2 linked regions of the Drosophila melanogaster genome follow. The gene in region 1 interacts genetically with each later gene. Each region holds a gene or a part of one and is shown on either strand. Other genes may lie near its edges. The genes, in order: corolla and GlyRS.

Region 1 (4,590 bases):
CATTATAATTAGTAATGGAACATGCGTACGTATGCAATAGTAAACATCCATTATAATTAGCAATGGGAACCTGCCGTTTCCACTACAAAATAAAATCATTTATTGGTCAAGATATGAAAAACGCACATTTGGCTTGCATTGGGGTTCTGGCGATCTTCCACATCTAATTGAATGTACTAGTATTCTCGAGTTCGTTGGGAGTTATTATTTTATGTGTAACCTTTCAAAATGGAAACTTTCCAATGGAAAGTGAGCATATTTTTAAAAAAAAATCCAAAAATCCTTTATCAATGACCTCTATAAGTTGCTTAACATTTATTTAACTTTCGTTCGACAATCAGTGATAGGTTCTGCTCCTTGCTCATCCTCTACAGACCGGCCTGCAGACCAAAGCCAGGACCCTTGGGCTCCTCGCTCAGGGAAGTGGGCTCGCCCTTTGGCTCGCTGGCAAAGCGTCCGTTGCGTGGCCCAGGGGGCGATATCTTATCCGCCTTCAGGTCGTTCAGGATGTCCTGCATGTCCTTGGATGTCAGATCCTCCTGCAAAGTAAAAAAAAAACGTTAGCAATGTTTGCACAATATAGAGTCGATTTCAGCGCATTAAGATTGAAACGCTGGACGAGGCTGAGAGTGAAACTGGCGTTTCCTACAAACAAATGACCAGGAAACACATTTAGCAATTAGAATTGCTTACATAGTAGTCATCGTTGATCGCCACCATTGGCGCATTGACACAGGCGCCCAAGCACTCGACCTCCGAGATGGTGAACTTCCTGTCCTTGGTGGTGTCGCCGACGCCGATGCCCAGCTGCTTCTTGCAGGTCTCCAGGATGTCGTCCGATCCGCGGAGCCAGCATGGTGTGGTGGTGCACACCTGGATGTGATACTTGCCAGTGGGCTTGCGCATGAACATCGTATAGAAAGTGGCCACCTCGTAGACGCGCATATTGGGCAACTGGAGAATCTCGGCCACCTTGTGCATGGCAGAGATTGGCAGCCAGCCGTACTGGCGCTGTGCCAGATCAAGCAGCGGGATCATGGCGCCGCGCTTGTGCCCCTCCGGATAGATGCTGAGTATGGCCTCCACGCGCTTCTTGTTCTCCGCCGTGAACTCGAACGGGATGTTGGGATTATCCTCCGGTGTGTCGCGATGGACGAACAGATTGTCGCTGGCCCGGGCACTGCTGGTGGCAATTGCCCGGATGTTGGCGCGCTGCAAATAACAACACATATCCTTAATGTTATTGTTTTCCTGTCGCCAATTATATAACTCGGGGAACAGGTTGCCTTCCCTGGTTGACACCGCGAATTACTGGACAGTTTGGATGGCTGCGCTACTCACCACGGCGGCCAGTGTTTTGGAGGCACAGTTTGTCAGCATTCTGGCGTTTCCAAAATAATGAAAAGGCTGAAAATTTGCTCTTATGTTATGTGAAGTCCGTCGGCTGCTGTCAGTTTTTTTTTAACAAGCACCGCTTACAGCTGATTTTCGGCGGAGCGTTTGCCAACACTGGCACTTGTCGTCAGAGATGAGCAAATCTCTACAAATCTTGTACAACATTAATAAAAAAAAGCTTAAACAAATAAAACTTGTAATTAAATTAATATTCAGCGGTACGTTACATTTTTTTATTCCTTTTTAAAATAAGTTTTCTAAAACAGTAAGCGATATATATCGCTGTGACTTCAGTATCTATGACACTTTTCAACAATGATCGCTGTGCCTTAGCATTCGATATCCGATAAATTACTGAACGCGCAAACTTGTAAGCTTATCGGGGGGAAACATTGAACGGACAAAATATGGAAAAATATCCACTTGTCAAAGAATTTATGGGGCAAAATTGGCCAAAAGATACCAAAATGGCGCAGCTCGAGAAGGAACTCAAGAAAAGGAAAGAATTGATCGTCGAGGAGCAGAGTGAGTGGGCATAATGCGCGAATCTCCAAGTAAGATTTATACATACATGTTTCTGCTTGTTCAGTTGTAGGGCCGCGTTTGGAGCAGGTGCTATTCGACCTGACCTTGGTCAAGCAGTGCGCCTTGGTAGTGGAGGATAACGGTGCCGGTATGGCACAGGCCAACACCATGATACAGGACTGTATGTTCCAGATCACGCGAATTGAGGAGCTGCTCGAAATGGCCGGGCTGCAGGACATCCTCTACTACACGGTGCATCGCAAGGAGCAGGAGTTCCAGCGCAAAATTAAGCTGCAGGAGGATTTGGCCGAGCAAGAGAATCAGCAGAACACAATCCTCGAATCGCGCAGCATCGGTAAGATTTTGTATGAGGTATTATTGAATACGGAATCCATTTGAATGCTATATAATCATAAACAATAAAAAACATTTTGTTTAATATTTTTTACCCTATGTGATAGTATAAGTTCATTTGTGTTATTTAAATGATTCTCAAGTAGCTTCTATTTCAGTCCAGGAATTCCGAAAAGAGCAAGCCTTAAAAAAAGAGGCAGATAAGGAGCTAGCCTCAGTGGACGACCAACTGGACCAGTCGGATCGCGAGTGGACAATTACGCTGAGAAGTATGACGGATAAGCTTAATAAGAAGATAGTCAGCGTTTTACAGATGGGAAAGCTGATAAACGAATTGAAGGAAGAGGTGAGTAGCTGCGAAATATCCATTCCAAGTGAATAACTTTTCCGTTTTTCAGTTGCAAAAAAGGAATTTGATTAAAACGGGTGTCACTAAGGGCGCTGAACCAAGTTTGGCTGGTGTTCCATCCGCTAGCACCATTTCACCATTTCAGTCCGCTTCGGATTTCCTCAACAACTTCATCTTTAAGAATATCAGACCAGATGACAATAAATCCATGACGAGCGTGAATAGAGAGATCACTACTAAGAAGCTGGAGACTCCTCTGCGATCCATTTTGATCAAATGCAAGGAGGTCGAGTCTGTTGCCATTTCCAACTCGCCAACAAAGCAAGTGCGTTTTTCTCCCTATCCAGAGATAAGCCATATCGAAGAGGAGAAATTTGAGAAGACCGATTGGCTTTCTCCTTCAGAAGAGGCAGGTGTCCCAAATGCGGAATTAGAAGAGGACAGTGACGAAATGGAGGCCACAGACGAAGATTTTGAGGAAATATCAGAAGAAGAATTCGAAATGGCGCTGAAAGATGAAGGATTTGAGCAGGAGGTAAAAGTAGAAAAGTCAGAAGAGGTTTTGCATCTAGAACAGGATAGATATGATGAGAAATCTGGCTCAGAAGTCGAGGAATCCGTATCGGATGACAAGGAATCCGGAGGGGAGGCTTCAGGAGAGGAGGAGCCGGCTGATGCGGCCAAACAAGTAAAAATCGGCGAAAACCCGAAGACTGATGAGCAGCTATCCAATGAAATTTCCGATAAACCACAAATAATTAGAGTCGACACTCTCTCTCCCTTCAAAAACATATCTTCCTGGGCCAGCGACGATATACCCAGCACCTCCAAGGGCACTCTTAATCGTTTTACTGCAACCCAGTTTATGAACTATGGTAGCAATCGCGATGAAAACGAGGCGCCGCCTTGCAAGCGACTAAAATTGGAGGAGGAGGAGTTCCCAATGAGCCAACCAATGCCGGATTACTTTAAGCATCCGTCGTCCACATTCAACAACTTTGATGATCAATCACTTCGATTCAGCTCGCCCCACAACAATTTTGACGATGATTACCTGCTGAACTTCAGCGATGATAATGATGTTACACCTACTGCCGCCTCGGCGTACATACTTTAAATTGTTAACGTATTTTGGTCAAAAATTAATGTATGTTCTTTATAAGAACGGACAATTAATTAATATCCAGATACTTATTCATTCATTGCCATTTGCAATCAAAAAAAATTTCACTTCAGCTAAATTATTTGTAGCTTTATAATGAAATTAATTTGCGTACATAATATGCATATGTACATTTAAATCATACGTATTCAGTTCGAAAGTGCCGTTTCAGACTTATTCTTCATTTTGTCGTTGCTTATAAACTAATAAAACAATAAATTAAGACAAATTCGTGACTTTAAATATTTAATTTTACTGCAAACAGTAAATTTTACCACTTGCAATAAAATACTTTTCTCATTACAGCATATAAATCTTTATTAAAAATGTATATTATAAAATAGGGGAATATGAAGACTACTTAATACAATACATAGTGTAAAATACATTTATATATTTAATCTAATATATATTTAACTTTAATATTTCATTTGTAATTCTGGGCGCCAATGGTTTGAGTCCAAGCTTTAATCGATTTGGTATATTTATGGTTTGTTTTGGTATTTGTCAGCATGCATCGCGCTTAGTATTTTAACCCATGCTGTCGATACCACGAGTTTGTTTTACAAAAATTGAACCAAAACCCAAAATAAATGGCTCGGAAACGAAAGATTCCCGTGCGCAAGCACCACGGCGTCCGTGATCCCCTCAAGCAGCTGGAACAGAAGGAGAAGAAGTTTGTTCATAGTGGCAAGTCAGTCGAAAAAGGCAGCTAAACTAATATCTGCACCATTTCACATTTCAGACTTTCCAAAGTAACGAACAATCCGCCTGTGAAAAAGGATGAGCAGCAGGTGTCCTTTAA
Region 2 (4,956 bases), on another chromosome or scaffold:
GAAAACTATCTGAATTATTTTCAAATATACTGTATAAATTCTTATTGTATCAGAGCTGTCGAATACCCCTGGATGATTTCGTTCAGAGTTAGCATTTTGAATTAGAGACGTGCACTAGTTTATTAGGATATTAATGCTTTTTGTTGTATGTACAGACTTAGTTTTTGTTTGCTTCCGATTTCCAACCCGTTTCATCACGCACCACAACCACAGTAAACCTTGAAGCGAACCCTCTCAAAAAAATGGCCAGAACTTTAACCCAAAACATAGAGCATCCCGATGAGGTGTTGTTAGGTTTGTTGTGTCCGTGTTTTTGAACATTTTTTTGGTTTTGTTTCGTACAGTCTTGAGTTTGGCCTTCGTGGCCGGCGATGACTTAATATCAAACGTGCAAAAGTCGTTGAATTAAGTGCGCCTACAGTGGATGCTCGCTGAGAGGAACCAAACTGGTTTTTTCTCCGCATTCTTAATAATTTTCATCGTGGGGGTTGGTTTCTAATTAAAGAACCTCCACTGTGCATGTTAAATGATGTAAAATGGTGTGCACACATACACGTACAATAACAAACTACGCTTATGACTAATAAATAAATTATAATGCATACTTTATACAGATCGATTGGCCCACTCATAAAAAAAAAGAAAACAACAAGACAACAACAAAAACAGGTCAAGAACGAAAAACGGTTAAACAAAAACAACTCGCAACTCACCGAACGAAGACCTTTGTTGTTGTGACCGCTGCCTCTTTGGCCGGTGTACGTGTGTGTGCGTTGTCGTAAAAACAAACATCAACCGTTATGTGTGGCAGCGCCTGTGAATGAGTTAATTTTTTAAGTGTTTGCAATAAAGATTTCGGAAAATTGGCAGGAAAACAACATTTGTATTAGCAGCTCAGGTGAGAGAGTGCCGAGAGAGGGAGAGAGAAGCACACCTTTCTGTTTTATCGCTCGAAATGCGGTCGCATAGCGTCGCTGTTGTTGCAACGCCGCGTCCCCTCGGATAGAAAACAACTAAACTCGTCCTGTTTTTCACATTAACCGCTTGTTTTTCAATTTGTGCGCTACGCGTTTGAGCAATTGGTTTGGGCAGCACTTGAGTTCGGCCGAACTAAACCAAAATTGAGCAAATTATATGGGAAAAACCAGACTGCAATGCTGCGCCTACATAATTAAAACAAAAACTAAACATATCGATAACGAAGAAGGCCCTACCCGATATCGATGTACTGGAGTGCTGAAAAACATCATAAGGTGCTGTTATTATCAGCCGCCCTGTTAGGGACAAGTGATCAATGTTGCCGACACGGTAACAGTGATTTTGGGATACCTTAATTTTATCAGAGCATTGTTTTTAAATTTAATTAATTTTTTAATATTATTAAATAATAATTCCATCGCTTATTCAACTATAAGTAAAGATGAAAGAATATGTTGAAACTATGTTGAAACCAAACTATCCAAGACACATTTACCAAATATAGCAAATAAAAAATAAATATAAAACAATAAAAACAAATAACATTTACCAAAGTCGCAACATTGCGCATCACTGAGCAGCTCTGTTAACCATAATCAGTGTTGTGCAAAGACAGTGCTGCAAGCCGGCCGACTAAGACTCATCCAAGTCGAAATTGCAGCCGAAAGTGAAGGTATTGCAGCAGTAGCCAATTGGACGGTTTATTACATAAATTCGCGTTTTTCGGCTGAAAAAATAAAAGCCTCTTTATGTCATTGCAGTTGTTAAAAGCGCTACCCCACCTGCGCAGCGCCACCACAGCCGTGAGAACTCAGATTGCAAGAACAACGTGGAGCGAGCACATTGCCACGAAAGTGTTTTTTAGCACCACTACCACAAAACCTACTCCCTCCGCACCACCACCACCTCCACCAACGCAACCGCAGCAGCCAGCTGCAACCACAAGTTGGGGCACCAAGAAGCAAAATAGAAAGGTAAAACTAAGATCCGCCGCTGCCGAGTTCATCATGTCGAATCCCGAGATTGAGGCTCAACTTGCCCCATTGAGGGAACGAGTTCAGGAGCAGGGTAACCTGGTGAGGGATCTCAAGGCGAAGGGTGCCCCCGAGATCGATGTGAAAAAGGCAGTAGCCGAGCTGAAGGCACGCAAGAAGCTGCTGGAGGACAAAGAGCTCGCCCTGACCCCCAGTGTCGTTAGTTTCGATCGCGCGAAGATGGAGGATCTACTCAAGCGTCGCTTCTTCTACGACCAGAGTTTCGCAATTTATGGCGGCATCACCGGCCAGTACGATTTTGGACCCATGGGCTGTGCCCTCAAGTCCAACATTCTGGCCCTATGGCGTCAGTATTTCGCCCTCGAAGAGCAAATGCTGGAGGTGGACTGCTCTATTCTGACTCCCGAACCTGTGCTCAAAGCCTCTGGTCATGTGGAGCGTTTCGCTGATCTGATGGTCAAGGATGTCAAGACCGGCGAGTGCTTCCGCCTGGATCATCTCATTAAGCAGGCTTTGGAAAAGCTATCTAAGGCCAAGGATGCAACTCCCGCCCTGCAGGCCGAGTGTGAGGATATTATCATTAAACTGGATGGCCTGAACAAACAGGAATTGGCTGGTGTCCTGGCCAAATACAACATCAAATCTCCATTAACCGGCAATGATTTAACAGAACCGATTGAGTTCAACCTGATGTTTGCCACCCAAATTGGACCCACTGGCTTGGTCAAGGGATTCCTGCGGCCCGAAACTGCCCAGGGTATCTTCGTCAACTTCAAGCGACTGCTGGAATTCAATCAAGGCAAGCTTCCCTTCGCTGTGGCTCAAATTGGCAACTCCTTCCGCAATGAAATCTCACCCCGATCGGGATTGATCCGTGTGCGAGAGTTCACCATGGCAGAGATTGAACATTTCTGTGATCCCGTGCTCAAGGACCATCCCAAATTTGGCAACATCAAATCGGAAAAGTTGACCCTTTACTCGGCGTGCAACCAGATGGATGGAAAGTCTGCCGCTCAGGTGCAAATCGGCGAAGCAGTGGCATCCAAACTGGTGGCTAATGAGACACTTGGTTACTATATGGCCCGCATTCAGCAGTTCCTGTTGGCCATTGGTATCAAACCGGAGTGCTTGCGATTCCGGCAGCACATGTCCAATGAGATGGCTCACTATGCATGCGATTGCTGGGATGCCGAAATTCTTACCTCCTACGGATGGGTGGAGTGCGTAGGATGTGCGGATCGCAGTGCCTACGATTTGGGACAGCATACGGCCGCCACAGGTGTGCGTTTGGTGGCCGAGAAGCGTCTGCCGGCTCCCAAAACGGTCGAGGTCAGCGAGATTGTGCCAAACAAGCAGGCTCTCGGAAAGACCTTCAAGAAGGAGGCAAAGAACATCACGGATGCGTTGGCTAAGCTTTCGCTGGAGGAGATAACCAAGGTAGAGGAACAGCTGGCTGGCGATGGTCAATACAAACTGACCACGGCCGATGGCCAAAGCCACGATCTCGGAAAGGACACCATCAGCGTTAAGCACTCTACGAAAACGGTCCATGTGGAGGAGTTCATCCCGAGTGTGGTTGAGCCTTCATTCGGCATTGGTCGCATCATGTACTCCCTGTTGGAGCACAGTTTCCAATGCCGCGACGGCGACGAGCAGCGGTGCTACTTTACGCTACCGCCTCTGGTGGCGCCCATCAAGTGCTCCATCCTTCCGCTGTCCAACAACACCGACTTTCAACCTTATACTCAGAAACTGTCTTCTGCCCTGACCAAGGCGGAACTTTCGCACAAGGTGGACGACTCCAGTGGATCCATTGGCAGGCGGTATGCCCGCACGGATGAGATTGCCATACCCTATGGCATCACCGTGGACTTCGACACTCTAAAGGAACCGCATACGGTGACTCTGCGAGATCGGAATACTATGAAACAGGTGCGCGTCGGTCTGGAGGAGGTTGTGGGCGTCGTCAAGGACTTGTCGACGGCGAGAACCACCTGGGAGAGTGTCACCGAACAGTATCCTCTGTTCGAACAGCAGGAGGCCAGCAAGTAACTGGTTGATCAAGGAGTTTCTTTCGCTTGGCACGCATTTACAGAGTTTCAAAGTTTTCTTATTTTTGTATAAATAAAATTCAATAATTCAATAATTTCTTATAAAATTCAATAAATATGCAACATTTAATGCTTTGCGCTTTGAAATGGGAGTGTGTTTATCTTCAATATGAATTTGATGTTTATTTTCAAAAAATATTTTTTCTCGGTGAAATTTCTTTTTAAATTATTTAATATAATTTTAAATATGCACATTTAAAGTTGTTTGGATCTATGACAATTCAAATTTACCGGATATTATGATTTATTTACACTTAAAATTGGTAATATAAAACGTGAAATTCCTTTTAAAAACGCAAACTATACACAAAGAGTAAAAATATAAACAAGGGAAAGTAATACGAATTATAGGCCATTTTTTCTTTAGATTTAAATCGCAAGTTTCCAAATAAATATGTAACCAGTCCTCACTGCTATGCTAAAATTACATTTGATTCTTGTTTATTTTTGCGGGAACTCAATTTTAATGCATAGGAAACCGCGCGGTTTTTGTGACGTTTAACAACACACGGTGAGTCACTGGTATTCTCAATGAAATGAGCGGTGGTCATACCATAAATACGTATGAGATATTAAACGAATCCAATTTCTAAAACCACGTGCAGCAAAGGCAAATAAACAATAAATTGTGGCTCGGATTGCCTCAGATTGAGTGTCCACCGCGAATTGAACCGATAACACGATAATCCTCCACATTTGGTGATCCCAAAGATTGACATTCGAGACGAAAGGATGAAATACATCCTGGTAACTGGTGGCGTCATTAGTGGCGTGGGAAAAGGAGTGATTGCCTCCTCGTTCGGAACGCTTTTGAAATCCTGTGGTCTGGATGTAACCTCGATCAAGATTGACCCCTATATCAATATAGATGC

The links.
Region 2: of corolla (region 1) and GlyRS, changing one enhances a phenotype caused by changing the other (phenotypic enhancement), as found in Drosophila melanogaster (one study listed by BioGRID).

What each region holds. Positions count from the first base shown.
Region 1 is NC_004354.4:17,629,212-17,633,801, reverse strand, and holds corolla (corolla), read left to right. Parts: upstream 1-1,754; 5' UTR 1,755-1,802; coding exon 1,803-1,920; intron 1,921-1,984; coding exon 1,985-2,275; intron 2,276-2,432; coding exon 2,433-2,620; intron 2,621-2,672; coding exon 2,673-3,740; 3' UTR 3,741-4,011; downstream 4,012-4,590. Other genes in the region: ND-24 (NADH dehydrogenase (ubiquinone) 24 kDa subunit), read right to left, coding at 369-539, 694-1,212, 1,342-1,380; CG8326 (uncharacterized protein), read left to right, coding at 4,379-4,461, 4,531-4,590.
Region 2 is NT_037436.4:15,093,535-15,098,490, forward strand, and holds GlyRS (Glycyl-tRNA synthetase), read left to right. Parts: upstream 1-1,607; 5' UTR 1,608-1,727; coding exon 1,728-4,025; 3' UTR 4,026-4,152; downstream 4,153-4,956. Other genes in the region: Ctps (CTP synthase), read left to right, coding at 4,817-4,956. UniProt on the Drosophila melanogaster protein: Catalyzes the ATP-dependent ligation of glycine to the 3'-end of its cognate tRNA, via the formation of an aminoacyl-adenylate intermediate (Gly-AMP).